Lonchura striata: one gene and its partners. The protein of the gene in region 1 binds, or shares a complex with, the protein of each later gene. Links are inferred from orthologs where the notes say so. Each region holds a gene or a part of one and is shown in the gene's direction. Other genes may lie near its edges.

What was found.
Region 2: CDC42 (region 1) and CRK share a complex: the UniProt entries of both Homo sapiens proteins name them as parts of the collagen stimulated complex. The link is inferred for Lonchura striata from reciprocal best matches to the Homo sapiens genes CDC42 and CRK.
Region 3: the proteins of CDC42 (region 1) and IQGAP2 are in contact, whole or in part, in a crystal structure (PDB 5CJP), measured with the Homo sapiens proteins. The link is inferred for Lonchura striata from reciprocal best matches to the Homo sapiens genes CDC42 and IQGAP2. Residues at the interface, in NP_001034891.1 of Homo sapiens: Gly12, Ala13, Ile21, Thr25, Asn26, Lys27, Phe28, Pro29, Ser30, Glu31, Tyr32, Val33, Pro34, Val36, Phe37, Asp38, Tyr40, Phe56, Tyr64, Leu70, Gln74, Gln116, Leu119, Asp122, Pro123, Ser124, Thr125, Glu127, Lys128, Lys131; in NP_006624.3 of Homo sapiens: Gln893, Thr894, Asn924, Tyr925, Ser927, Asn928, Gln929, Arg930, Glu931, Glu932, Arg976, Gly977, Asn979, Gln983, Asp1067, Leu1068, Leu1069, Pro1070, Tyr1071, Lys1191, Phe1192, Asn1193, Lys1196, Tyr1197, Leu1200, Val1201, Thr1202, Val1203, Ser1204, Lys1205.
Region 4: the proteins of CDC42 (region 1) and FMNL2 are in contact, whole or in part, in a crystal structure (PDB 4YC7), measured with the Homo sapiens proteins. The link is inferred for Lonchura striata from reciprocal best matches to the Homo sapiens genes CDC42 and FMNL2. Residues at the interface, in NP_001034891.1 of Homo sapiens: Val36, Phe37, Asn39, Gln61, Glu62, Asp63, Tyr64, Asp65, Arg66, Leu67, Arg68, Pro69, Leu70, Pro73, Ser88, Glu91, Asn92, Lys94, Glu95, Lys96, Pro99, Glu100, Thr102, His103, His104, Pro106, Lys131, Asn132, Lys133; in NP_443137.2 of Homo sapiens: Ala41, Met42, Asn43, Leu44, Pro45, Lys48, Leu52, Tyr55, Lys59, Glu62, Leu63, Asp66, Gln67, Arg69, Phe70, Lys73, Tyr79, Arg108, Glu109, Ile112, Ser113, Leu114, Arg115, Thr116, Asn117, Ile119, Val122, Asp219, His222, Met226.

Annotation. Positions count from the first base shown.
Region 1 is NC_134626.1:8,463,707-8,470,547, reverse strand, and holds the start of CDC42 (cell division control protein 42 homolog), read left to right. Parts: upstream 1-3,834; 5' UTR 3,835-3,927; intron 3,928-6,841. Other genes in the region: C24H1orf50 (uncharacterized protein C1orf50 homolog), read left to right, coding at 336-518. UniProt on the Homo sapiens protein: Plasma membrane-associated small GTPase which cycles between an active GTP-bound and an inactive GDP-bound state. In active state binds to a variety of effector proteins to regulate cellular responses. Involved in epithelial cell polarization processes.
Region 2 is NC_134622.1:6,727,392-6,734,637, forward strand, and holds the start of CRK (adapter molecule crk), read left to right. Parts: upstream 1-4,241; 5' UTR 4,242-4,325; coding exon 4,326-4,569; intron 4,570-7,246. UniProt on the Homo sapiens protein: Involved in cell branching and adhesion mediated by BCAR1-CRK-RAPGEF1 signaling and activation of RAP1.
Region 3 is NC_134642.1:13,539,330-13,546,214, reverse strand, and holds the start of IQGAP2 (ras GTPase-activating-like protein IQGAP2), read left to right. Parts: upstream 1-3,880; 5' UTR 3,881-3,916; coding exon 3,917-3,962; intron 3,963-6,885. UniProt on the Homo sapiens protein: Binds to activated CDC42 and RAC1 but does not seem to stimulate their GTPase activity. Associates with calmodulin.
Region 4 is NC_134610.1:1,541,023-1,548,042, reverse strand, and holds the start of FMNL2 (formin-like protein 2), read left to right. Parts: upstream 1-4,001; 5' UTR 4,002-4,034; coding exon 4,035-4,151; intron 4,152-7,020. UniProt on the Homo sapiens protein: Plays a role in the regulation of cell morphology and cytoskeletal organization. Required in the cortical actin filament dynamics.

The DNA of each region.
Region 1 (6,841 bases):
GTGGCTGCCTGGCAGGAGGGTCTCTTCAGGTACTTCAGCCCAGGCAGCTGAAGAGATGATCTTGGAAATCTCCTCCTTCCAGACTACCTGTTTTCTTACATGCAAGGTGGAAGTTTCAGGGCAGGTCAGGGAGATCTTGTGTCCACATGCCTTCCTCTGTCAGCAGTGCTAGAGCTCGACCTGATCTTGGACTTGGGTATCTGACCCTGTATTTAGGTTAGGAAATGGTATGGTCATGTAGCTGGGACTGCTTTGAAGGTAGTAGGGCTGAGAGACAGCACAGCCAAGCTCCAAGGAAACCTGAACACTGATGGAATCTCTCTTTTCTCCACCAGGAATGGGGTACTACTCCCCATGAATTTCTTGGTGCCTATAAGCTCCAGCATGACATGTCCTGGACTCCGTTTGAGAACATAGAGAGACGAGATGCTGAAATAACTGTCCTGGAGAAGCTGCTGAGCCAGCCGGCAGCATTGCCCCTGTGCATGGAGCTCAACTTCCAGGGTGTGACCAAGTGACCACACAGGACCCCCTGAGCAGAGTCCCTGAGTGAGGGGACAGAGTACCTGTACGCTGCCAAAGGCAGGGTGGAAATAGACCAAGAAACAAAAATGCTGATTGCTTTTGTGCTTTAAGAAGTTTAATTCTGCATTCAGTCATACTGGACTTTCTAGTAATTGAATAATTTACTTCATTGACCTATGGCAAGCTGTAGTAAGAGGCAGATGATACCAGGAGGTGTGACTTCCAAGAGTGCTTGGAGCAAAAAGCAGAAATGCTTGGGGCAGATGTGCTAATGTTGTAAAATAATATCTCCTGTCTGCCTGGCTCTGGTGTACCTCGCTGTGAATGTATCAGGTAATGATCTCAGGGCTGGATTTTCCCCCTTATTAAAATGTACATGTTTAGAGAGCTCTGTGGTCTGGAAAGAGTGGTCAAAAGCTTATGCAAAGGGTCTGCTGTGATGAGTCTTCTGGTCTCTGTCCTAGCTGGTCTGAATCCCTGAGCTGGGAACATGAAGCTTTTCTCTGGAAAGAGCATCCCCAAAAGTGCCATGCAGGCTTCAGGTGTTCTTCAGATGATGTGTTTCACATCCTCATGCATTCCCCCTTGGATTTGAGTGCATGAGCTGCTAGGTAGAGGCAGGATACTGGATGACTTTATGCCAGAGCAGTGGGGAGAGTAAAATAAACCATGATCTCACAGGTACCACCAAGACAGGCCCTGTGTTCTTCCTGCGTGGCAAAAATACCTTTAGCTTTGCCAGGAAGACTTAGTGGCATGTGGAGCTAGTAGGATACCCCCAGCGTAATTTTTCCATCTAGAAAAACTAGGGAGAAGTAAAGATCAGAGCTGCTGAGGAGATATCCTCCCTCTGCCAAGCCACACAGGGCTTCTTCAGGAACTTGCCTGCTTTTCTGTGAGGAGCCAAAGTTGGAATTTATTGACAGAGAGGATGTCCAGGTTGGATCCTGGTATGTAACATTAGATCTGGTTGGATTCTCCCATGACTTGCTCACTTTTCTAACATGACAAGATGATCTTGTATGCTACTCCAGGCATTGCATGTACACAATCACCTTGCCACCTCCATGGGCAACATGGGAGAGTTGGGGACCACTTGTAGGAGCTGAATTCTGACCTTGGGATCTGGGCCAGCTATGGATGGATTTCATGCTTCTTGGTGGAGCCTGATTGTGAGCGCATCTACAAAAACAAGATCCTTGGGGACCAGCACTGTCACTGTGTTTTGCCATTGCTGGAATTTATTCCCCTTTTGCAGGACACAGCCTTACCTCAAGTCTCTAGCATTCCTCTGTCCTCATCCCCATGCACTGGGAGTTTGCCTTGGGAGATGCTCAAGGCTGCTGGCGGTGACAGTTCCTCATGGGAAGAGCTGTTTCCTACTGGTGTTACAGAGGATTGGAAGGTTTGGAGCAGCTCCCTAGCCCAGGATTTTTTGTCCCAGATTTTCTTCTCCTAGCTCTGTCCGGTGCAGTAGCTCACCTACATCCCCGCATGGCTGAGCCTCTGTTTGGCAGAAACCTGTTCCTTGGATTCAATATGAGGCTTTTTTTTCCATATCTTTCCTCACTTGGAGCACAAGGACATATTAACAGGAATTTGTTATTAGTAGTAGTAGTATTAGACCAGGCTATAATTAATTCCGTAACAAGTTACAGGTGCTGAATTTGACAGGGTTTTTCTCTGCTTGTTTCACTGCCTTGAGTCTGATTTTACTGCATGGTATTATATCTTAACTTGGAAGGGATAAAGTTAATTACTGCATGGACTTTGTGTGGTTCACGTGTGTTGATTTATGCTCCTCTGGGAAGTGAGGATTCTTGCCCTGGTTTTATCTGTTTCCATCATTAATATCTGTACCATGGCATGCACAAGAGGCTTGAGGAGTGGTGGTTGTGGACCTCTGTAGCTTATGGTGGGATGTCATGTGTGTCTAGCAGACACCCCTGGCCCTCCATAGCCCACAAGTCACTAGTATTCTGCAGTTCTTCTAGGCACTGTCAAGTCTTTCTCTTGTGAAAAGACAAAGGAGGCCTCAAGAGACGGGACATGGAGGTAATGAGCTCATAGTCATCCTCATCCTTGGCATCCTCATTCCTTTGCACTGTGGGAAGTGGGGAATGAGGCTGGTGCAGGGAGCAGTTGATGGAAAGGGGGAACCATTCCCTCAATATTGCTTATGCACTGTTGAAGTGTAATTAAAGTCAAAGAACTGTGAGGCATCATCAGAAATACTGGAAGGTGCTCTAGAGCCAAAGCAAAACATAATCTGGAACACAGACAAGGATGAAGCTGGTTGAGGTGGAGCCTCATGTGATGCTTGCATCAAGAATGAGTTTCTGGAGGAATGATGAGATGGTGCCTTGTGGGAGACTCCAGGGTCTCTCCAGGTTCTTGTTCTCATCCACTCGGCTCAGCCTCTACCCAGCTGGAACATTTGTGCTTGACAGGGCAGGGATTTCATCGAAAATCATCTGGAAGAGACAGTGAGACACTGATATCCACTCATGATTTCATCTTGAAAATTCTTTTGAAAATGTTCCTCTTCCTTTGCTCTTTTGTGAGTGCTCCGGGCAGCAGTGAGCATATTTGGAAGGCAGTGGCTCTTTCCAGAATCCCCAGGGATGTGGAATATTTGCAGAAGGCACAGATATGCTTCTGACACCATTACATTGGGCAGAGTGGATTGTGTCCTGTCTTTGGCCATGCAGATGGACCAGGGCTCATTTAAGAAGTCCAATGCAAAGATGGTTTGAGGGTTTGACCTATTCCATGTGCTCTCCAGAGACAGTGTTTGGTGACTTGAAGCTGCTGGCATAGGTACTTGCAGCTTTTTCCAACTTTTAATATTTGAATTGCTCTGTAGTTTACTGTTTCAGGCCAGATTTTTGCTTTGCTTCTCAAAGTAGTTGTGCCTGGAGATTTTCTTTCCGGCCTCTTGTTCCTGAATGATGGGGGTGGTTAGGGGGATTTAACTTGCCATAAGTACCCTCTGCTCTGGGGTGTCATCTCCCAGCCATGAGGAGTGCCCCAACAGGATGAACTGTGGATCTTTGGCCCTTCTTATGTCGGCTTCAGGTCCAGGGAGAAAAGACAAAAAACCAAAAAAAACCACGAAAAAAACAAGAAAACAAAAAAAAACAAAAAGCAAACCACACCAAACCAAACCTAGAGGGAGCCTGGGCGCTGTGCCGGCGAACCTCACATCCGGCAGGCCGTGCCCGCGCGCGCCCCCTGACGCTGCGCGCAGCGCGCTGCGAGCCGCGGCGCATGGCCGGCAGGGGGCGTCCTAGCTGGCACGCCCCTCACCAGCGCGCTGCGCGGTGACGTCAATCGACTGCCCCTGTGCCTGCGCCGAGGAGACCCCGCACTGAGCTGCCAACGCCCGGCGGAGCGTCCGAGGTGAGAGTGGGGGGGCGGGGGAGGGGGGCGGAGACGGGACTGGGACCCCCGGCCGAGCTCCGGGACCTCCGGCCGAGCTCCGGGACCTCCGGCCGGTTCTGCTCTCCGCGCGCACCCACCAATAGAGCCCTGGCCTTCACCTCGGCCGGGGCGCCCGCTGTGCGTGCGGGGCCTCCCCGGCAGCCGCCTGCCGGGGGGAAGGGCGGCCTCCTCCCGGCGGGTCCCGGTGGCTGCTGGCGGACGCTTGCCTTTGTGGGCCTGGTCTGTTGAGGTGGTCGGCATGGCCGCCGCTTCTCCTGCCCACCCTTCCCCCGCTTCCGGGCGGCCGTCGGACTGGACCCTCGGAACGGCGCAGGAAGCGTTCTCGCAGCCATGGCGGGGCCCGCCCGCACTCCCTTGCCCCTGCCCGTCCCAGCCCCGCCCTGCCCGTCCCGGCCTCAGCCGCGGCCCTCCGCACTCGGTGCAGTCCGGCTGCGCTCGGGGCTGTGGGAGAAGCCTCGAGGGGCTGCGGGCACAGCAGCCCTGAACCGCAGCGGGGTGTGGGCATGGCGAGGAGTTGAGCTCTAGCTATGTGCCCTGCACAGACAGCGCTCAGTCGAGAAGTCGCAGACTCTTCTGGGTATCTGCCTCACGAGCTGCAGTGCTGTGGGTTATCCAAAGCTGTCCCACAGCTTTCGTTACATCGTGATGCCTCTGGCTGTAGCTGGGCCAGGAGCTAGCACTGCTTCAAAGGTTGGTGTTGACATATGTTTTTCATTCTCCTTGGAAATCTCATAAAAATGTACATACTGCAGAATCATAACTCCTGTCTCTGTTTTAAAGGTCTGGTTTAGTGATCTAGATTTCAGTTCCGTATCTGTAAGTAGATAGAACTTGCAGCTGGTGACAGCAGTAGGAGACAGTTGCAGAGCCAGGTAGCTGTGAAGACCTAGCATTGGAAACCTATGCTTAACAAAGAATGGTCGGGATTCCTGTTGTCCTTTCTGTGTGGATGCTGTGGCCAGGGCAGCCAGAGATCCTGTCTTGACAGCAGCATGAGGAAGACAAGCCCTGGCAAAGAGGCCGTGTTAGATGGCAACTGAGTGATCAGACATGGTAACTGGATGATCAGAACTGGCTGCTTGGTCTGGCCATCTATGATTGTCTTTGTGCTTCTCTCCCAGGAAAGGAGGTGTGGGCTGTTCAAAATATTGAGTTGCAGCGCCCAAAAGCTTTATTTTTTTTTCCGGAAGGGGCATTTAAAAACTGCATCAAGCTCATTGTATTGCTGATTGGGATAACTCAGTAAAGCATTACAGCTTCTGTTTTTCTGTAAGCAAATTATATTCAGCTGGCTGAATGTGAGGAAGTTGTATGTGAAGAAGCTGTTCTAAATTTCCCTTCTGTTGTAAACTTCTGCTTTGTACTCTTGTTAGTGTAAGGTTCTGAGGAAGATAATATAGGCAACTATATTTGAGTCAGGTCTTAGGCATGTATGGTTTGAATAAGTATATTGCCGACTGTAAAAATGGTTTGGTGTTTAAACTGTTCTCATTTATGCTTCAGTAACAACAACAACAAAAAAACTAAGTCTTGGCAAGGAATAAAAAATTACTGTGGTGCAAGATAAAACATGTTTTCACTTTGGTAACATATCCGAGGCAGAAATTTTAATCACTAAATTTGCATACTTTGAACTTGGTTATTCATGACCTGCAACTGATGTTCTGAATCATTAAGTGCTCTGCTTTAGGGTTGTTTGCCTAAAACTGATGACTGGGAAGTTCATGATGTTTTTACTGTTTAAATAGAAAAGCTCTGGAAGCTCTAGAGTGTGAAGTACCTAAAACTGAAACTGTCATTCTGCTAAAAGGCAACGGTAAACATAAATGGAGCCCCTGTGAAGCTCCCAGGGATTTCTCTTATAAGTGTTCTGTGGGCTTTCCTTGCTGTAAACCCTGTGTGAGGCTGATGGAAAGTGCAGCATGAAGCTAGCCACTAATCTTGATGTAAAGCTTCTTTTTCATTAAAATGTAGATGTAGTACTAAAGTAATTTTCCAAGTTTTATGAGCATAGATAGCTGGACCTTACAATTAAAACCTTTTCAGCAGCTCTCTTGTTACCATGGGGGTTGGTTGGTGTACCTGGGTTCCAGCTCTGCTGTTAGCTCCGGAAGACTCGGACAATAAATGAACATGCTGCACTACAGCTGAGGTTTGTGTAAGATGTTGCAGGTGAGATGTGTATAATCTGCTTGATGCCCATGTGAGTGCTCACAGCTTTTAAAAGTTGTCTGTGGGCTTGTGTTTTTGATCCTGCTCATTCCTCTGCCTGCCCTTTGTGGTCAGGAGAGCTGAGCTCTCCTGCTGTCATTTGGCTCCATCATGAATTTATGATACGAGTTTCTGGAGCAAGAGACAGTTAGGAGGAATTGTAGAGGGTTTAGTTATCATTGCTCTTTAGGAAAAGATTCTTTGCTGAGGAAAGAATGACATATTTCTCATTTTAGAAGATGAAAGTTCTGTCAAATCAAATGGAAGTGGAATTGGTTTCTGGTGCTTCAGGTAGCAAGAAGCTCTCTAACCACTTAGTCTTCTTCCTTGGTTCCTTTCACTCCCTTACATTAAATGTAGGTGAAAGCACCCTATATTCAATAGTTAATATATGACAAATAAAACAATTTATTGACCAGATAAGCTTTTATGCAAAGTTTTAAGAGAAATTTAAAGTACCTTTACATTTCTGCAGCCTGTCACCATTTAATTATCTGGCTTCTCCCAGACCCTACACTTTATTACGGTTTGACACGATACAAGCTAAGTGTATATCCCTCAGGAAGGACTGCCATTAGGAGTGGTAGGTAAAAAAAATCCCTTTCCCCAGAGTTTTTGCAAGGGCTGAAGCTTGGCACAAAAGTTCTCCCTCTCTGAGGTT
Region 2 (7,246 bases), on another chromosome or scaffold:
TTGTCCCCTCATCCCAAGGTGTTCAGCTTGTTCCAGGAGAGCAGCCCTGCCTCTTCTTGGCCTAAATAAACCACATGCTTTCATCAGTCCCCATGAGACATTCATTCCCCCACTGACACTAATCAGCTCCATTCCCTCACACACAGCAGACCAGAATCCTGGTCTAGCTGAAGAGTTGCTCCTGCCTTGGCATCATTATTTCACACCACAGCTGCCGGGCTACACAGCCACATCCCACTGTCATTGTGTGTTATTGTCACACCACTAAGAATTCCTGTTACTTCTCCAGCTGCAGGACCCTTCCCTCCAGCTCACGCTGCTCCACACCTCATTTCTGCACATGTTACAAATAAACCCCCTCCAGTCCATCCCCTGGGATGCTTAACTTTCCCTCACAGCTGATGGCACATCCCAGGAAAATTCAAATTTAGACTTTGTCACAAAGACATTTCCCACTTGGCAGCACAAAGGCTCCTCCCCTTACACAAAATCCAGCAGGATCAAGAGATTGTTCTACCCATCACTCACTCCAAGATTATTTATTCTCAAGTCTTCACGCAGAGCTTGTGACACAATGGCTTCTGTCACTGTTCACCAAAAGTGCTACATTTGGCATGGACATCCCACAGCAGCACCTGGTAGGAACTCCTGGCACAGGTGACACTTCCAAGCCAGGTGTGAAGCCAGGTTCCAGGCCACATGAGGCAAAGGAAAGGAATAAACAGGACACAGGCACCCCCTGCGAGCAGCTGAGCCTGAACTAATTGCAAGAGGAAACATTTCTGTGGAAGAAATGCTGTTTCTTAGGTCACAGGGAAAAGAAACCAAGAGATGGAACTTCTTTAGTTTTATTTTTCTAAGTAGGACACAGTACTGCCATGTGATCTAGACCAGCTTGACAAAGCCAAACGCTTCAAGGAGCAGTTGGGACAAGGTTATGTGACCCCAGGTCACCTTGCACTGCTGTCAGCAGAGTGCAGATGAACCTTGGGCTGACCCAGGTGTTTCCTGATTTTGTTTTAACATCCCTTGGATGTCACCTCAGGCAGAACATTGCTGTACTACAGCCCTCCATACTTGGCATCTTTTCAAGATTCACTCATTGCACTCAGCAAGAAACTTTCTACTGATTGAGTGTGGCTTTAGACACTGCCAAAATTTTAGAGCTTCTTAGGAAAAAACAATCTCTGACCAACTGGTAGGGACAATAAAATCAGGAGAAGGAAACCAAACCTGTGTACCACTGGAGCTTTTTACTGCTAGGTGAGTGAATAAAATGTTTTCATAGTATTTTGTACTTTATTCCTTTCAGGATCTTGTAATTAGCAGTGAATTCTTTGGCATTTCAAGCTGATTTAGTTTTATTCTTCTGAGACAGTGTCCCAGAGCTTCGTTTTTCTTTCACATTCCTCTCTGCAATCCCTCTGCCTGTGAAAGATCACCTGAATTCTTAAAATGTTAATTGTTTTCAAACTTGTAGGAAGCAGGTTTAGGCAGAAGAGCTCTGCGTTGTTGTAGCCTTTGTGCAGCAGGGATGGGGCGAAGGTAATAAACTGCTGAGGGATGCAGAGCTTAAATAGGGGAGGAAAAAGAAATTTGGGAAAGGCTACCAGTTATTATCAGAAATGCCAAGTAAGGAAAGGCTTTTACAAATAATGAAGGTGAGAAGGTGACTGTAGAAGAGGAGCTGTGGATAACCTGGAAGCGATCAAGGCCAGGTTGGATGGGGCTCTCAACCTGCCCTAGAGGAAGGTCCCTGTCCACGGCTCGGGGTCGCACCTGGATAATGTACGAGGTCCCTTCCCATCCAAACTATTCCAAAATCCTATGGAATCATTCCAGAATAAAAACACCCACGGGAGGATTTAGGGGTTATTGGTTTCCCGGCTTTGACCACCAGAGAGAGCTCGTGCAGCAGGAGTCCCAACCTGAGCCAAAACCAAAACCAAAACCTGATGGAAAACGCCAATTCCCGCAGTTTTGGGATCGGCGGAAATCGGGAGACGGGGACCGGGAAGGGAGAGGGAAAAAAGAACAGACTCTGGGCCCTCAAAAAATGAGGCTTTTTTGCAGCGGCCTGGCAGGAATCAGGAAAAAATGGTGAATTTTGCTCTAAAAAAGTATTGGTTGATTTGTTTGTTTGAGGTCTGTGAACACTGAACAGAAAGGACACGTGTTCCTGCGGATATGATTTAACTCTCCTGCCGTCCTGGGCTCTCAGCAAGGATCTGCAGCTTTTCAAACCCGTGAAAAACCCATGGAAGTGTGTGTGCTATTCCTGCAGCTGGCCAGCAAACCCCACACATCACCACGGAAACTGGGACTGACCTCCAAAAAGATTAGGCTCACTCCTAGCTCCAGCCCATCTGGAGAGAGAACAGCATCAGCAGAAGAAGGATGTTCATTTGTGAGGCTGAAAGCAAGCACCTGGTGTTTTCTTATGGATTTGATGAACCACAGACTCCCCACCTGTAAGGAAGAATATTTTCTCACTGGGATATTGTGGAGGTTAGTACAACCCTGGAACCTGACACAATGCCAGAGTCCTATGCAGGAGACAGCTACAGGGCCCTACAAAAAACCAGAATATTGGATGCAGGGAGGAGCACAGCACCCTCAGAGTCAGGGATAGCAGTGCTCTAACATTGTTTATGCAAGTGCTGCAACAGGGAGACCACACAGTTGAAAAAGCAGATTCCTTTCTGGAAAAAAGCTCACAGAACTGAGCAGAGCTGGAGCAGAATTCTACACACGTTGACAGATATTACTCTGGCATTTAAGAGATCTTGGAGAATAGTCTAAAAGTGGTACATATTGCTTTGTTTTCACAAATAGAACTCTTAGTTTGTCCATGCCCACACACACATGGCTCCTCTGTGGCACCAGTGGAACCTAAGCTCTTCCCTGTTGCAGACCTCTGTGGGAATGCAGTCAGTGAACTGCCCTGAATAAAGCAAAACTTTTTATTTTGCAGGGCTATTTTTAACCCGGAACAGCTCCTTGGCCCAATTCATGCAGTCCCATGAAAAGCAGCTGTGCTGGCACAGCTGTGGGGTGGGAATATGTGGCTGGCAGGGAGGATGAGGACAGAAGCTGCTGGCACAGCCCTGAAGGAAAACACAGCGAGCTGCAGCCTTTAATGTACAGATGAAAATATACACAATATACTGAGCTGGAAGGGACCCACAAGGATCATCGAGGCCAACCCCTGGCCCTGCAAAGAGACTCCTGTGCATCCCTGAGAGCATTGTTGAAACATTTCTGGAGCTCTGGCAGCCTTGGGGCTGGGGCCATTCCCTGGGGAGCTGGGGCAGTGCCCAGCACCCTCTGGGGAAGAATCTTTTCCTAATATCCAACTTAACCCTCCCCTGACACAGCTCCTGCTCTTCCCTTGAGTCCTGTCCCTGGTCACAGAGCAGAGGTTGGTGCTGCCTCTCAGAAGGATGTTTAAGACGACAATGAGGTCTGACCTCAGTCTCCTCTTCTCCAAGCTGAACAAAGCAAGTGACCCCAGTCCATTCTCATAAGATTTTCTCTCCAGATGCTTCCCCATCTTTGTAGGCAAGGAACGGTGTGGCTGCAGGGCCAGGGAAGGGATTGTCCCCCTGTGCTGGGCACTGGTAAGGCCACATTTGAGTGCTGTGTCCCCTCAATGCAGGAGGGACATCGAGGGGCTGGAGCATGACCAGAGAAGGGAACAGAGCTGGGGGAGGATCCGGAGCACCAGGAGAGGCTGAGGGAGCCAGGAGAGCTGAGCCTGGAGAAAAGAGGGGGGAACCTTCTGGCTGTCTGCAGCTGCTGGAAAGGAGGTGGGAGCCAGGTGAGGGGGTCAGGCTCTGCTCCCAGGGAACAAGGGACAGGACGAGCGGAAACGGCCTCAAGCTGGGTCAGGGGAGGTTAAGGCTGGACATCAGGAGGAATTTCTTCCCAGAAAAGGTCATCAGACATTGGAACGGGCTGCCCAGAGCTGTGGCGGAGTCACCGCGCTTGGAGATGTTCAAGAAACGACCGGACGCGGCACTCCGATCTGGTTACCAGGGCGGAGTCCAGTCCCGGGCTGGACCCGGTGATTCCAGCGGTGCTTCCCAGCTGATGGATGCCGGGATTGCCGGGATTGCCGGGATTCACCCGCTACTCCCGCTTTTCCCGCCCGCCCCTCACAGCCCGCCCTCACACCGAGCCCCCGCCCGCGCGGGGAGATGACGTCACGCCTCCGCGTGCGGTCACGTCCGGTAGGTGAGGTCAGGGCCGGGGCCGCCATTTTGAGCGGCTCCGCGGGCGGCGGCGGCGGCGGCCGCGGGCGGGGGAGGAGGAGCGCGGCCCCCATGGCCGGGCAGTTCGACTCCGAGGACCGGGCGAGCTGGTACTGGGGGCGGCTGAGCCGCGCCGAGGCCGTATCGCTGCTGCAGGGGCAGCGCCACGGCACCTTCCTGGTGCGCGACTCGGGCACCATCCCCGGCGACTTCGTGCTGTCGGTGTCCGAGAGCTCCCGCGTCTCGCACTACATCGTCAACAGCCTGGGGCCGGCGGGAGCCCGGCGGGCCGGCGGCGAGGGCCCCGGGGCCCCGGGTGAGTGACCCCAGGGCTGGCGGTGCCCGCAGCCCCGGGCAGGGCAGCCGGGGCGGCTCCGCTGGGCGCCCGGGCGGTGTTGGCAGGCGTGGAGCGCTTTGTGGTGGAATTAAGCCGTGTTCCGGAGCTGAGGCGGCTGCCCGAGCGGAGCCCGCTGCCCGCACCTGCCGTTCTGTGCCACATGAAATTCAGCGTCCTGGACTTGGGCATCCCGCGGCTCCTCTTTGTTTTCCTAACCCCCTTAGCGATAATTCATAGATTTTCCGTGTCATCTCAGCCGGAAGGTGGTTGTGTGAAGTGTCATCCTCAAAATGTGACTTCTGACAAGGCAGTTTTGCGTTATCAGGGAGGCTGAGTTCGAGTTTGAGTGGTGGGAACTCTTCGGGATGTTTCTTGAAATCAGATGTGAAGTTCAGTTTCTTTCCTCTTGAAAGGAGAAGTTTGGTATTATTTCTCATCGAGTGAACATGTGAAAAGGAAAGCAACACGTTTAAGTGTAACACTGAAAGTGCAGAAAGTGCTAAGGGAGCTCTGTGAGAAGCAGAATTTTTGCTGTTTAGTCCAAGTAAACCCTAACAGTGCAGAACCACTGGATGTGTCAGAACGTGCAGTCCAAAGGCACTGGTGTCACTCCTGTGGGAATCAGGGAAGTTGGTGCTGGAACTGCTCGAGTTTGGATATTAATCCTTGCAAAATGATGTGGATGTGTGATTGGCATCTCCACAAGGAGCCACTAGATAGTTTTTAACTATAGTAAACCTGTGTAATAAGAGATTTGGTGAACTTATTTGGCAGAAAGTCAACAGACACGGTGATAAAAGTCTATGGGTGGAATAGGAGACCAGTGGTGCAAAGATGTAACAAGACTTGTTTTATTTTTCAGTCTCTGCACAGAGTGATTGACTAAGGAGATAATCTGAGAGAAAACAAAATTAGTGCCAGTAGGTTTGCACTGTCATACAGGGGAAGCATTTCAGATTGGAAAAATGGGGAAAGCCTAAACTCACCCTGTTTATCCCAGGAACCTCCTGGACCTGCACAGTGCACTGAGGTTACAGAGCTCCACAGGTAGAAGTTAAATGTGGCTGAATTCAGCTGGAAGTGGAATTTATTGCTGCTGTGGGGGATCAGAATGTGGTGGGTTCCTGTTGTTCCATGTGGGTGCAGACAGAGGTTTGGTGCTGTAATTGCTGACAAGGATGGCTGGTGTTAAGTAGAGCAGAGTCAGTCGCCAGCATGTTTTGTTCTGAATCCAACCTAATTAGATTTTTCAAGACAGTAAAAAACACTGGGTCATGAGTGTCTGTCACTTCTGGGCAGTTGTTTTTTTGGTGAGCAACTCATCTCTGGGAAAACAGTACAGCCATCCTGACTTTTTTCCTCTGTTACATTCTAAGCTCAGTAACATTTTGTGGCATTCTGTGGGCTGGCTTTGGTTAAAATCATGAAGTACCTTGTAATTCTCTTCTGTTTTAAAAGAGTAGCTGTGTAAGCTGGTGGCACAGCAGGCTTAATATATCTGAAAAAGTATAATTATGTTTTGGTTGGCCTCCTTTTTATTTATCCCCTGGATGTTCTGGGAGGGGTGATGCATCACTCCTGCACTACAGACACTCCCACGTTGATTTTAGTCATTTTAATTAAATTATGCCTCCACACTGATACTGCTGTCTTCATACTACAACCAAAGAAGGTGCTGGGGAGGTATATATTGAATTATACTTCAAGTGTAATTAAGGTGCTGTTTCAGAAAAAAATAAGTGGGCGGTTGTTCTGCAGTGGAAGGGAGGTGAAAACATTAGTAGAAGATTGAAGATGATTCTGTGTTTGGGTAGGGAAGCTAATGCAGTAAAAAGAGTTAAATGTTTGTAAATTGTCCAGCTTGTTTATTGTGGCTAAACTAAAACGTTGGGAAAAACAAAATCACTGTATTGTAGTATGGTACAATTTTTTAAACAATTTGTTGTTTGGCAGATGTGCAGGTCTCTGGGAAATTTGAATATTCCAGGTTGGGTTCTGGGGTTGATTTTTGTTGGGCTCAGTGTCTGTGAAATTTCTGGCTGCTCTCAGGGATAGGGGAACCTCAGCATAGAATGAATGAGATGAGGAGCTCTGGCTTCCCTAAAAATCACAATGTCACAAGAACATAGTACTTTCTTTGATTTCTGAAGTATAGAGTAAACTTGCAAACTCTTTGTTAAATTGACCTTTTGACTGATGCTGCAGTTTCTAGTTTCTTGCAGGTAATTTTTCAGCATAACAAAGAAATAAGAGTTGAACAGAACTTTTAGTGTGTTCTTGGAATGTTTTTTTAGTCTGTTAAAAAAAATAGGATAGATCACTGAATTATGGGAAAGAAAACCATTTTTTTTTTCAGTGGAAATGGATAATTTGTGATGAAGTATCATAGTTATGGTTAAAGAAGTCCCAAACAAGACAAGGTGCTCCATGCAGGCATTAGCATGGTGATGGACAGCAGGGGAAATATTAAATATATCATGTGTTTGCAATGCAATATGGGGGTTTGGGGTAAAAATGTGTGATATGCACTAAAAAATGCCTGAAATACCTAAAGATAGAAATCCTCTCTGTTGAGAGAGGAGCGTTATAAACACAGAAGCCTTAATGTCATTAAATTTGTCTGTCTGAAGTAGGCAGATATGACAGATAAAATGCA
Region 3 (6,885 bases), on another chromosome or scaffold:
CTATCTAAATGGCTCTGTGAGCATGCATGACTCCAAATGCATACTTTGAGTCTGTATATATGTTTATTTCTTTCCCTCTTGCCAATTCTAAGGCCCGAGTTAGAGCAACTATCTAGGCCTTTGTGCAGAGGTATTTGTTGGCCTAGATTCCATTACCTCCTTGCAGGTAGTAATTGCATACCTGGCGTGTTGTTTTCTACTGATGACATAACTGCTTCTATCAGTGAACCAGACTTCTGCACTCTTGAGAGGGGTGTCCTTCAAACTAGAGCAACTGGAATAGGTGGCCTCAATGATCTCTAGGCAGTCATGTTCCACTGGCTCTCCTTGGTTTTCACTGAGGAAGGAGGCTGGACTGACAGTGTTAGTCACTACAATCTCTACATCATCTTGCTCCACCATGATAGTTTGGAATCTCAGGACTCGTTGTGGGGAAAGCCAATGCCTGCCTTTCACCTCTAGCACTGCAGACACTGTGTGGGACACTAGCACAGTCATTTTTTGGCCCAGGGTGAATTTACGTGCCTCCTGGATGTTCAGTACAACTGCTGCAACAGGTTTGAGGCATCCAGGCCACCCTTTAGCTGCTGCATCCAATTGCTTAGAGAAGTAATGCCACTGCTCTCCGGTACAGGCTGAGGTCTTGTGCAAATTTTCTCAAGGCGGTTCTTTGTTTCTCATGGGAGAACAAAAGGAAAGGCTTACTCATGTTTGGCAATCCCAGAGATGGAGCTGACAAGAGGGCTTTTTTTTCAGTTGGTTGAAAGCTTGCGTTGCTTTCGTTGTCCATTGGATGTCCCTGCTTTCGGTTGCTATCAGTTCACATAAGGGCTTCACAAACAGTCCGTAGTTATAGATCCATAACCTGCACCACCCCGTCATCCCCAGGAAAGTTCATAGTTCCTTTACAGTCTGAGGTTTTGGGGTTTGGCATATTGCTTCCTTCTGGCTTTGGCCCAGGGTACGTTGTCTAGCACTGACTTCGTAACTCAGAAAAGCTACTTTTTGTTTTATTACTTGGGCCTTTTTCTTTGATACCTGGTATCTCTGGAGCCCCAAAAAGTTCAAATGGCTTACTGTCCAGGCCACGCATGTTTCTCTTGTCTGTGTGGCTATCAGGATATCATCTACGTACTGTAGCAGCTTCTCTTCCTCTGGAGGGCCTCCCCAGGTCTCTAATTCTTTTGTAAGTTGTTCTCCAAACAAAGTAGGTGAGTTTTTGAATCCTTGTGAGAGAGAGTCTGGTCTCTGTAAACTGAGCTTTTTGTCTGCCTTTAGGACTTTCCCATTCAAATGCAAAAATTTTCTGGCTGGCTTTGTGGATAGGAAGGCAAAAGAAAGAGTCTTTTAAATCTAAAATGGTAAACCAAGTTAGTTTTGGTGTTAAGCAAGTTAATAACATGTAGGGATTGGCCACCACAGGATACAGATCTCCAGTTACCTTGTTCACAGCTCACAGATCTTGTACTAACCGGTATGACCCATCAGGTTTGAGAACTGGTAGGGTAGGGGTGTTAAAATCAGATTGACATTCTTTTAATAATCCTAAACGAAAAAAGTTCTCAGTTACTGGGCTAATCCCTTCCTTATCCTCCCACCTCAAGGGATACTGTTTAACCCTGCCAAGTTGCTTTCCCTCTTTTAGTCTGATCTATATAGGGGGAGTGTTTTTCGCTCTCCCTGGTACATCAGAGGCCCATACCCCAGGGAATACCTGATTCATTATTTCTTCATCAATTTCAGTTTTTCTCATGACTTCGCTAGTGGTTAGTATTAAACTCAATACTTCTACATACTTTTGATCATTTACCTCCAGAGTCATCTCCCCATTGTTAAATGCAATAGTTGTCTGTAATTGTCTCAGCAAATCTCAGCCCAAAAGTGGCTCAGGGGAACTGGGCATATGTGGAAATTTGTGGAGCTCCCATTGCTTTATTTTAGTGGCTTAAAGAAAAATGCCTTTTCAGTTTGGCCAGTTGCTCTTATAACTACAGAATATTCATCTCTTATGAGCCAAATGAAAGGGAAAAAGAAAGATTTTTTTTGTTGTTATGAAATTTAATAATTATAAATTTATAGTTAATCAAATAACTAGATAAAATATTAATAGCCAAATTAATAATCAATAATAGTTTTTATATTAGACTATTATTGTATTAATTAATTAACCATCAATCATTGTTAATTTATTGTTTGCCCAGTGCCACATAAGTTTACGAACTCTTAAGGGTTCAATCCAAACCACTGGGGAGGAAAGAGAAGGAAAAATATTTCTTTCATTTTTCTTTTTAATACTAAGGCTGGGTCACTCCTTTATCCTTTCTTAATCTTCTTCAAACATGTCCTAGGTTTCAGGGACCAGGTGATTTTTTATACAGATTAAATTAACTATTTTACACTTTGCTTGTTCAACTCCTGGGTTATAATTCAGGGGTACACGCACAACATGTGGATCTCTGCTTATATGAAATACAATACTACTTCCTCTGACACTTCAAGTGTTGGAGGAGAACCCAAGCTGTGTGCCAGTCTGGCTTCCAGCAAAAGGTTGTCAATCTGCACACGAAACAGGAGATTACCACTCCTGGACCCCACCTCAAGGGGTTTCTCAGCACCTGTTCAACTGGTGGTTGTTCTCAGTCAAAGGCTACACAGCAACTTGTTGAACTTTGGTATATCCCTCCTAAGGACGCTCCTTCTCTCTCTGTGTGGGCAAATTACCTCTCACTTGCCGCAAGAACCAGGCAACAAACCCTGTACTGCAAGGATCTTTCAGTGACAGCTTTTAACACTGAAGGGCAGTGTTATCTCTCAACAAACACTTAACTCTTAGCCCAGTTGGGCTTGCTGGTTACTTTTAGCTGGATCTTGTCCTTTACTAACCAGCGATGCTTGTAAGCATCACTTGCAAATCTTAACTTGTATGATGCCCCTACTAGCTGCGCTATTCGCTAGTGGCATTTAAAGCAACCCTAAAAACCGTGGCTTGTGTCCGTGCTCCTGAGGCAGAGGTTTCTTAAGTAAAAGGTTAAAATTCAACATGTAACTCTACAAGCTAGAATATAAATGCTTAATTCATTTTGTTAACTTAAGTGAACTCCAAAAATCTGTTTCAGTACACCCAATTGCAAAGGTGCAGGTCATGGTGATGGCTTTGTGGTCTGGCAGAAACACTGCTTGTGGGGTGTGAGAATTTTTCAAAACGGCAAAATTACAGGAGGGAGTCTTAGACTTGGTTCTTCACCTCTCTTCAGAGTCCGCCCTGCCAAAACACCATAGGGGAGAGTCCTTGGCCTTTTACTGTGGAACTTGGTTTATTTAAATAGTTTGGTGGTTTGGGGTGGTGTTTTTTGGTTTTCTGGTTGGGTATTTTTGTTCTGTTATGGTTTTTTGTTGTTTTTGTTTTGCTTTGGGCCTTGCCTTTTGGTTGCTTTCTTGAGTTTTAGTTTGTTGTGTTGTTTTTGTGGTTTTGGGGAGTTTTTGGTTGATTTTTTTTCTTTGCTTTGAGGCTTGGGGTTTTGTTGTTTTTGGGGATTTGTTTGTGGTCTATTTCGGGGGGGGGAGGGGGGCGTGTTTTGTTTTGTTACGTTTTGCTTTATTTTCCCTCCTTTTTCTACTTTCTACCTGGCGCTTTTCTGCCTATTTTTTTTTTTTTTTTTAATCTTGGCGTGTGCTTTTCTGTTAGTTTGTTTTTCCCCCTCCTCTCTCACTCTCCCTTTCCCCTTTCCCTTGTTTTCCGCGCGCTCCCCCGCCCGGCTCTCCCGCGCACCCGCGCGGCCCCAGCCGCGCCGGAGCCGCCCCGGTGGCCCCGGCCCCGCGCGGGGCGGCGCGGCCGCGGCCGCAGCAAATCAGCGGGGCCCGGCCCGCATAAGAAGGGCGGGCGGGGACCGGCGCCGTCCCTCCCGGCGGCGGCAGGATGCACCATGAGGAGCTGGCGTCCCTGCAGCGGCCCCGCTACGGCTGTGAGTGGGGTCCTGGGGGGCGTTTCGGGACCTTTCCGTAGTTTTGTTTTTTTTTTCTGCTTTGGTGTTTTTTTTTTTTATTATTTTTTTTTTTTTAATTTTTTTTTAATTTCCCACTCCCTTGCTGCTTTCTCGGTTTACTACTAAAAATGCAAGCTGAAGGCAAAGTAAAACCCGCCCAGCAGACTCTTGCGGCAGCGCGCGGCGCTCCGCCTCCTTTTAGGTTAGCTCGCAGTCGGCTCCGGCTGGGTTTTGAACAGGTTTTCACGGGGCTGCGTTTTGTTCTGTAACTTTGTGAATGGATTATAGCCGGAATTCCGCATTGCAGCTCGGGAGTTTTAGATTAGAGGTCGAGCTTCGGGTTTTAGTGCTGTAACTTGGTGTTACAGGTATGGGTTTGGGTTTTAACTTCGTAACTTGAGTTATGACTGTAGCTTCAGGTTGTAACTTGGTAACCTTTGGATTATTACTTCGGAATTTCGGATTATAAAATTAAACCTTTGCTTTCTAGTTTTATAACTTTATCTTAGACCTTTGCAACTCTTAAGTGCTTGGGATGAGGGGAGAGACCGTGCAGGAACCGGGCATTTCTTTTCAGAGGGGTGTATTTACTTCCCAAACGTATGTTTAAGAAAAACCCTTGAACACCTTCCTCTTGCTGTTGGTCTCTCCCGCCCGTGCTGTGCCGTGCTGGGATCTTGCACCCGCCTGTGCTTTTCCAGGCTCTTGCAGGGCAGAGCAGTGCAAGCCCGTGGCTGTGCCATTCCTACAAGAAATGCCTCTGATACGTCAGGCATTGCAAAATGGTAACACGCAAATTATTTGCGAAGTTCTCAACAGCCCTGGCATCCTGTTGTCTAATGAGTAGATACCCAGTTCTTATCGTAGTGGCTTCATTAAAAACCAGTTTTGAAATCTCCTTTTAGAAAGAAACAAAACTCCTTAACAGTGTTAAGAGCCACCTTGATTCCACCTAAGACAGGTAGAAAAAGCTTGGCAGTAAGACCTTCAGCTTGCAGAATGCCATGCTCTTCTAAGCATTTTTCCTCATTGATGACTGATTCACCCTGTTGATACCCTCTCTTGGGGCATTTTGTGGAATGTGCCTGTAAGTTTCATTTTTCATTTTACCCAGTAGGTGGGTTGCATCCTTGCAAAGGTGTGTGTTCACTGGTTACTACAGGCATTGTCTGAGTGCCTATGCTGTTATGTTAGCAAAGGTGAATATTTTGCTTGTGAAACCAGTCCTCCCAGCAGCTTGTGCCATTGCACGTTGTAGTTAGGCAGTGTCCAGGTGTGCAGCATCGTGTTCCAGCCTCGGTTTGGACACTGTCCACTTGCCTGAGATGCAGAAATGTTTGTTGTATGCCTGTCAGGACTCCAGCAGTAGAGGCTTTCCTTTTGGATCTGCAGTGGCTGATCTCAGAACATGTGGGTCTGGACAGGTAGAAGTGTGACATGACTTCTGATAAAGGCAAAAATTAGTCTTTAACCCAAAGCAAAGGGTTCGTCCTTTGAGTCTTGTTCCTTCCTGGCACTGAGGATGAATTACCTTATTGACAGAGCTGGTCAGAGTATATTAAAGATTGTAGGCCTCAATTATTATGGGAAAGAATGACACTAAATATAGTTTTGAAGATACGTTCTATCCTCTCAGTGCTTATGCTTTGCTGTGGTAGTTGAGAGTATTTTGTTCTAGTAACCATGGGGATGTTCATGTTCTGAGGTGTAGCCATGCTTGGTGTCAGGTCTCTCTGCCCCAAGTACAAGAGTGGATGAGAGTACACTTGTTTTTATAATGGTGCCACTCTTCTGATCAATCATGTCTGCTTGCTCAAGATCAGGTAGCTATTCTGTCCTTCCCTGAGTGAGAAGCTGTGGCTGTTGTGCCACACTGCATCCACTTCTTTTTGGAGTGCAATTTTTGGTGCAGGAACCATTGAAATTACATTCCTTTCAAGAGACTAGGCAAAGGCTCTTGAAATATGCCAGGCTGATGGCAATATTTAAAAAAATATACACCAGGAAACTTCATGAAGACTTCCATTAAAGAACAAGCCTACTTGTCTGTAGTGACAGTAGAGGCACATGTTTGGGTTTTTTAGTCTGTGTCTAGAGAAATACATACATTTTATCTGCATTGCATTTGGCTGCCGTTTTGAGCAGCGAAGACACCCAGCACCTTAAACAAAAAAAAAAAAAAAAAAAAAAACCCAACCAAACAAACAACAAAAAAACCAAAAAACAAAACAAAACAAGAGAAAATACTCCTTAACTAGAAAACTAACACTAGTGTTTTCTTAGCTTTCATGAAAGCCCCCTACATAACTAAAACTTCACTTTGGATTACTGACAAACAGTTCCCTGTGTTGAGAACACCACATCTATGCTGGATTTCCTAAGGAGTTAATAAATTGTCCAAGTTAGGCTATCAAATTTCTAAGACCCCTTGCTTTAGTGACATAGAACTGTTTTAAACATTTAACTTGACTTGGACTTTTGACTTTGACTTCAAGTTCCTAGCAGAGTTTGTGTATTGCTCTGAAGAATGTTAGCATTTTACTATCGTAACTTTCTGCCTAGTACTTTATAAACCGAGTATCATTTCACTGGGGAGACATATCCTGAACTTAAAAGAAGTTGTACTTTACAAACATTCCTGATATAGTAACACAAAAATAAATCTAGAAAAAAAAAATCTTAGAGCTGATCATTTCCATATTTAAAGTCAGGAAATTGATGAATGAAATCAAACAAGACAGTCCCTTTCTGGGTTGGTGCTAGTTCAGGATGAGCATGGTTCATGGGAGAATCAGACCTCAGAGCACCCTGCTAGAGCCTTCCCTTGGTCTATTAGGGTGAAAGGTTTGTGGCTTCCTGGACCACTTGCTGAAAGGCGCCTCCAATTCTGCTTCTTGTCAAT
Region 4 (7,020 bases), on another chromosome or scaffold:
TCCACAGGGAAAACAGAGGCATCTTTTGGCCCCTGTTCCATCCAGCATCTCCCCCAGCCTCTGGCTGCATCTCGGTGCTGCTCTGCTCTCACATTGCAGTGTTATTAAATATTGACTCCTTCCCCAGCCCTGTTTTCTGCTCCATTATCTCACTTGCCTCAGCACTGGCGATTCCTGGCCTTGCTGGGAATTCTGAGGCTGTGTTTTGTCTGCCTGCCTTCCTGCCAAGAAATGCTGAAGGAGCTCCTGGCAAGGCTGAGTCCCACCAGGAAATAACCCCGGCTGCTGCTGGGTTTGCTCAGCAGCGATGGCAGCAACGTGGGGAGATGTCCTGCAACTCATCTTCACGTCCCAGCGCTCCTTGGGCATTCTCCTGCCCAGCTTTGCAGCTTGTTTTAAACTCAGTTTACACCTGGAGGGATGTTCAGCCTGGAGAAGGCTCCAGGGAGAGCTCAGAGCCCTTGCAGAGCCCAAAGGGGCTCCAGGAGAGCTGGAGAGGGATGGGGGACAAGGGATCAGGGCAGGGTTAGGTGGGACGCCGGTGACAGCACCACACTTGGCTCTGCTGGAGCTGCATCTGATCCACGCCAGTGTTGGAAGTGATGCCCAAGGACATCAGCAGGGCCAGAGCAGGGCACGAGGAAATCAGCTCCAAAGTTCATCATTTAATTTCCAGCACCCCGAGAAAATTGAAAGGGCTGGGTAGATGTGAACCTGAGCACTCGCTGTGCTGGGACTGAGCACTTCCACCCTGCAGCTTCTGCAGCAGCTCATTTCCCTTGGGAAGGCTGCCCTCAGAAAGCAGAACAGGATTTTAAAATATTTTTTCCATTTGTTACAGAAAAGCCCCTCTCCTAAGCAAGCTCAGCATGCACGAACTGCAATCAATAACCTCATGTGAAGCGAGCACTGCTCAGCTCAGGGATGGATTTTATGGGTGCTCTACATCTTTATTATGAGTGAAGCATCCTTGGCCACTGCTGAGCAGGGTCTGGCTATTTATTAAAGCCTCTCCAGCTTTTATCAGATCACCTGGAACTTCACAGAAAAGGCAGCTCAGGATCCCTCTGGAAGTGCTGAGCATCAGGGAAAATGAGGGTTCACAAATCAATCTTTCCCCTTCAAAGGTTTTTCTCTAGATAAGTAAGTAGAGACTGGTTCAGGGGATTTTAGGAATGACTCAGCCCCAAACTTGCAGCTCTTTACGTGGAGATTTTGGTGACAAACAGAGCAGCTGGGTCAGGGGAATTTAGGAATGACTCGGCCATAACTTCCAGCTCGTTATGAGGAGAGTTTGGTGACAAACAGACCTTGAGGAAAGGCTGAGAAATCTCATTCTCCAGTGAAATTCCACACACGCTCATGGCAGGGAGCCCTTGCAAAGCTGGTATGGCCATTAACCCCGGGGCAGACCAAGAATTCCCTGCTGGCATCACCCGGTGTGAATCACCCAGGTGCCTGGGATGAGCTCTGGGAACTGCACACTGTGAGCTGCTTCTTTTATTTGAATAAATAAAATGTGAAAACAAAGCTCTTGTTTATTAGTTTTAATCCCAGAATAATTTCTTTACATTGCACGAGCCAGCTAAGTCCCTTTTTTTACTTACCCACACTAATTTTGGCATTTGCAAATGTCGACATCCCAGTTAGAGACAACAACAAATTGCTTAAAAATCATCTCATCCTTTACAAGAATTCTTTTCTTTGCTCTGCTGCATTGATGTCAAATGCTCGCTGTGTGTGAGGATGCCTAAATTCATTAAAAATTTTGCAAGGCTAGTTTTGACCTGAATATGCCTCATAGCAGGATTTAGAGCTGCCTTTGACTTCTTGCTGGAGCCCAGGAATCCAGTTTATCCTGCAATTTTCCCAACCTGTCCCAGGTATTTGTGGCCAGCAGCATCTCCCCATCCCTGAAGGTCTCCTGGTGTCCAGAGGGACTTAAAAATGCTGAGGTGACTCAGGGAATCCCAGAATTTGCTGAGCTGGAAGGGATCCACAAGGATCATCAGAAAAGTGTTGAGTGCTTCCATGGTGGGAATTATTGACTGGGAAAATCCTGGGATTCCTGACACTGCAGCGAGTTTGTCATCACAGGTCATGAAAAGCCCTGCTGCTGGGAGAGGGAAGGATCCTCTGCTGGGGACTGTCTTCATCACTGTTCCCTGCCCTCCTGTTATCAGTGGTGCTCTAAGGCTGCCTTATCTCACAGCACTCTTGTGAAGCTTAATGAACTAATTAATCTTTCAAAGAATTGTGATAGATAAAAGACATGGGGCAAAGTATCTATTACCGCGACAGTAACGTCGTTGTTAACTCCTGACAGCTCTCCGGGGTTCAAACCTTTGTTTACCAAGGATATTGCAAGGTTTTCGGGCTTTTAACAAAGCAGTTTATGAAATTCTGAGCTGTTCCTGGGGCCTGCAGAGTGGGAAATCCAAACCTTTGGCATCGCTCGGGGGCCCAGGCCACGTCCTGATGCTCTGTGGGCAAGGTGGGGAGTGAGCCAGGACAAAGAGTTCCTCCCCATCCCAGTTATGGATGTATGACACTTATTTTTTTTTTAATTGGAACGAGCTTGTTTAATTAGTAGTGGGTTTAGAGCTCTCAGGGAGAAAAGCTGCCTGTCACTTCCATGGATTTCCCCTGCAGGACTGCGTGTGCTGCCACACAGGATTCCCAGCACGTCGCTTCTGCGGCACTTCCCAAGCCGTGCCTCTGGCACAGCCCTGATCCCAGAGAATGGAAATGAAGGAATGGTCATTTCCCAGACTATGATGCTTATCCTTTTGCTCTTCTCCCCAAATTAATCTCCATGTGGATAGTTTCCATGGCCAGGAGGAGAGGCAGCAGCATGAGTGGTGTGAAGGTGAGAGCCGAGTGAAAATCGTTCTTCCCTGGAAGGATAATGGGATGCTCATAGGGGACAGTGGGGTATGGATTGGTGGGGCTGACAGGAGGGAATGAGGTCTTGGATTTGGGATTAAGCCAGATGTAAGTGAGGACAGCACAGTCACCAAATGAGCTGATGGCATCTCCCAGGGTCAGGGTTCCAGGCTCCTGTTTCCCGTGCAGCCCTGCATCCCTGGGATGCTGAAACCCGGGGAACACTGCAGAAATGGGGGATAACGCCCGAGGAGTGGCCAGGCTTGAGATGCTGGGGTGGATGATCCTCCTGTGTACACCCAGGCAGCCTCAGCTCGGGTACGGATGTGTCGGGGTGGCGAATTCACGGGGGTCAGTCACCCCAATTGTCCCGATTTCAGTCACTCGGGATGGGGGCTGGGGCGACCGGGTGGGGCCACTGTCCTTGAGCACCTACAGCCGTTTTGGTGAGCAGCAGGACCACGGCTGTCCACAGCAAAGGTCTAGAGTTAATCACAGCACCAGGGTCCCACGCTGGTTTGGGTTTAAAGGGACCTTAGAGCCCACCCAGTGCCACCCCTGCCATGGTAGGGACACCTCCCACTGCCCCAGGCTGCTCCCAGCCCTGTCCAGCCTGGCCTTGGGCACTTCCCGGGATCCAGGGGCAGCCAGAGCTGCTCTGGGCACTTGTGCCAAGGCCTGCCACCCTGCCAGGGAAGGATTTTCCGGAATCTCCGCTCTCCCCCTGCCCTCGCTGGAATCCACTCCCCGCGTCCACTCACTGCCGGCCGGCAGCAGCGCGGCCGCCGAGGCAAAATGGATGCGGCGGGGTGTCCCCCACCCCTTTCCCCCATTTCCCCACTCCTTTCCACCTTTTCCAGGCATTCCCACCGCCCTCTCCCGCCTCCCTCCCCGCGGCCGGCGGCGGGACTACGAGTCCCATGGCGCCGCGGGCCGGGGGCGGAGCGGGGCTTTGTGCGGGCGGCATGCGGGGGAGCCGCAGCCGGGGCTGGAGCCGGAGCCGGAGCGAGCCCGCCCCGGGGGGAGGAGGGCGAGGGCGGCGAGCCATGACGGGCGGCGGCGCGGCGGAGCGCCCGCGGTGGTAGAGGGCGAGCGCGGGGCGCGGAGCCCGCCCGGCGCGGGGCGCGGAGCAGCGCGGAGCGGCCGCCATGGGCAACGCGGGCAGCGTGGACGCGCAGCAGACGGAGCTGAGGGCGCACGGCGTGCCCCTGAAGCTGCCCATGCCCGAGCCCGGCGAGCTGGAGGAGCGCTTCGCCGTGGTGCTGGTGAGCGCCGGCCCCATTGTCTGCGGGCAGCGCGGAGGGGCCGCGGGCGGGGGGAGCGGCGGAAAGTTGGCTCGGGAGCCGCGGCCGGGCGCAGGTGGGCTCGGCCGGGCGGTGCCGCCCGCGGGACGGGGCCGCGGCTCTTTGTCTCCGCAGCCCCCCCGAGGGCCGCCGTGCCCCGGCCCGGCCGGCTCCCGGGGCCGGGCGGCGGGGCGCAGCCCGCGGCCAGCGCAGCGGGAGCGCAGCGGGAGCGCAGCGGGAGCGGCTCCGCCGGGGACGCTCCGGGACACCGGTTCTGCTCCGCCGGGGCACCGGTTCTGCTCCGCCGGGGCACCGGTTCTGCTCCGCCGGGGACGCTCCGGGGCACCGGTTCTGCTCCGCCGGGGCACCGGTTCTGCTCCGCCGGGGACTCTGGCTCTGCTCCGCCGGGGCACCGGTTCTGCTCCGCCGGGGCACCGGTTCTGCTCCGCCGGGGCACCGGCTGTGCTCCGCCGGGGACTCTGGCTCTGCTCCGCCGGGAGCCCAGGGACACGGTCCTGCTCTGCCGGGAGCCCGGGAGCACCCCGCTCTGTTCCACCAGGAGCCCGGGGATACCGGCTCTGCTCTGCCGGGGCACCGGCTCTGCTCTGCCGGGGACACCGGCTCTGCTCTGCCGGGGACACCGTTCTCCTGTGCCCCCCGGGAACACCCCGCTCTGTGCCCCCCGGGACACCCCCGGCTTTCTCCTCCTGGGGATGCCGCCCTCCTTTCCCCCCGGGACACCCCGCTCCTGTCCCCCCCGTTGGGGGACTCCCCGGTGCTTCTCCCCCGGACCGTGCCGGGGTTTTCACTTCAGCAGCACGGACGGGTGGCTCTGAGATCACCTCCCAGCGAAGGGCTGAGCTTTCTTTCCCTGGGCAAAGCTCCCGCTGCCTTTGGGGTACCCCGGCAGCGCGGCTCCATCTCCTCTCTGCCGTGTTTTTTTTTTTTCCTTGGAGCCACGTTTGCGTGTGGAACGGGAGCTGGGGGAGGAGGGCGAGCGGCTCCATGTGCGTGCCATGCCCGGCCCCGCCGTGATGCTTCGGGAGCCCGGAGCTGCCGGGTCATTCCCGTCCCGCATCCCGGAGCCGCTCCCGGGCGCTGGGCGAGGATTCCCAACCGCTGTGTGTTGGGGATTATTTCTGGTTAGACCCAATTAGATTATCATGTCTAAGAAAAGAATAAGCCTATTCAGTCAGGAACCCCCACTGACGAGCCAAATGGCGAGTGAGATGTTACGATTATTAGGCACAGTGGAAAAAAAGCCCGGTGTCGCGTTGCTCTTGTCGGGGATGGGAGATGCTCCCGCAGGCAGCACACGGCTCAGGATCCAGTCTGGATTCATCTGGGACTACCAGAAGGGCTCCTGGCCCCGTGTGCCTGCGCGGTCTGCGGGAGGAAATCGGTGGCTTTGGGTTAGGGGATGGTGATGGATGGGATCTGTGAAAGGCAGAGACGTCACTCGGGGCAGCCTTAGAAACGTGTAACGTAAATACGGGAGATAACAGCACCCAGCCTGTCGTTTCCTGAGGTGCTTGGAAGGTTTTAGAGGTGGACTTCAATTCAGGCTGGGAGGATGAGTGCTGCAGCTTTGCTGGAGGGAGAGGCTGGCCATGCGGGTGGGCAGTCCCTACAAATGTGCTCTGGGACGGTTTTCCCCCACCTTGGGGAGAAGCTGCGAGATGGGACCAAACAGCCCCAAAAATCACCTTCATGCTGTTCTTGCAGCCAGCCAGGCATGGCTGCTGGTGTTGCTGCAGCTTCCAGGAAATCTCTGACCAGTTCATGAAAGAATAAACTGCCGGGCTGTGATTATTTTGTTTTCTCTGTGGCTCTGAGGGAGAGATGACTGTGCCACTGCTCAAAGCCCAGAATGGGGTAGGCTGGAGAAGTGCAGGGATTAACGAGAAAGGAATGATCAGGGGAAAAACCATGAGGAATATTTTCTGTGGGGAGAGAGGATTAGTCAGGAGATGGGAGCATGAAGAAGGAGATGCTGAAGGTTGTAAGACTAAATCTCACCTTCCTTATGTGCTGTCTTAAGAAATTAGCCTGGCACGGGCGTTGCTGGCACACTCTGAGCCCTGGTGAGGTCCTGAGGGCTGTGCTGACAATCCCAATTTCCATATCCCTGCTGAAATTCCCAAGGCTGGTCTGGATGTTGATGAACACAGTGAGTGGCTGTGTTCAGGTTTCCCTCCTCACAGTGGGAGGGTTGTGCCCACTCCTGTGTGGGAGAGGTCCCTTCTGCGTGTTTGGAAGTTTTGTTCTCTTCCAGAGCAGGGAGCCCTGGCCCTCCAAACCACCAGGAGAGCACACTTGGCCATGATTTCACCCTGAGTGCCATGACACCAACTGGTTTATGTTTTCCACCTCAAACACGCTGTCCTGAGCTGCTCCAGCATCTCTGGAGTCCCTTCAGCGAGGGGATGCTGTGCCTGGAGGGGATGGATGGGTGCCAGCTTGTGTTTGCTGGGCTCTCAGAGGGTTTTGTGTTGAGAAAGGGCTCTGCCTTGTCCACCTCCAACACACACACCTGGTCACCTCACACACACACCTGGTCACCTCACACACACACCTGGTCACGTTGTACACACACTGTCACCTCCCTGCCTCCTGATCCTCCTTGAGGTGCAGAAATTGCAGGAGATGATGGGCACTGCTCCAGGTCACGTTTTTTTGGGCGAAGTTCTCCAGTCTGTGCTCCCTGTGCCCTTGGTGTTCCTGAGGTGTCCAGAGCCAGCGGAGGGACAGGGATGCCACTGGCTGTGTCACTCCTGGTGGCCTGTTGGGCAGTAATCAGGGTTCTCCCCGTGGCTCTGTGTCTCCTGGTGCTGTTTTTGGCACTGCTGTA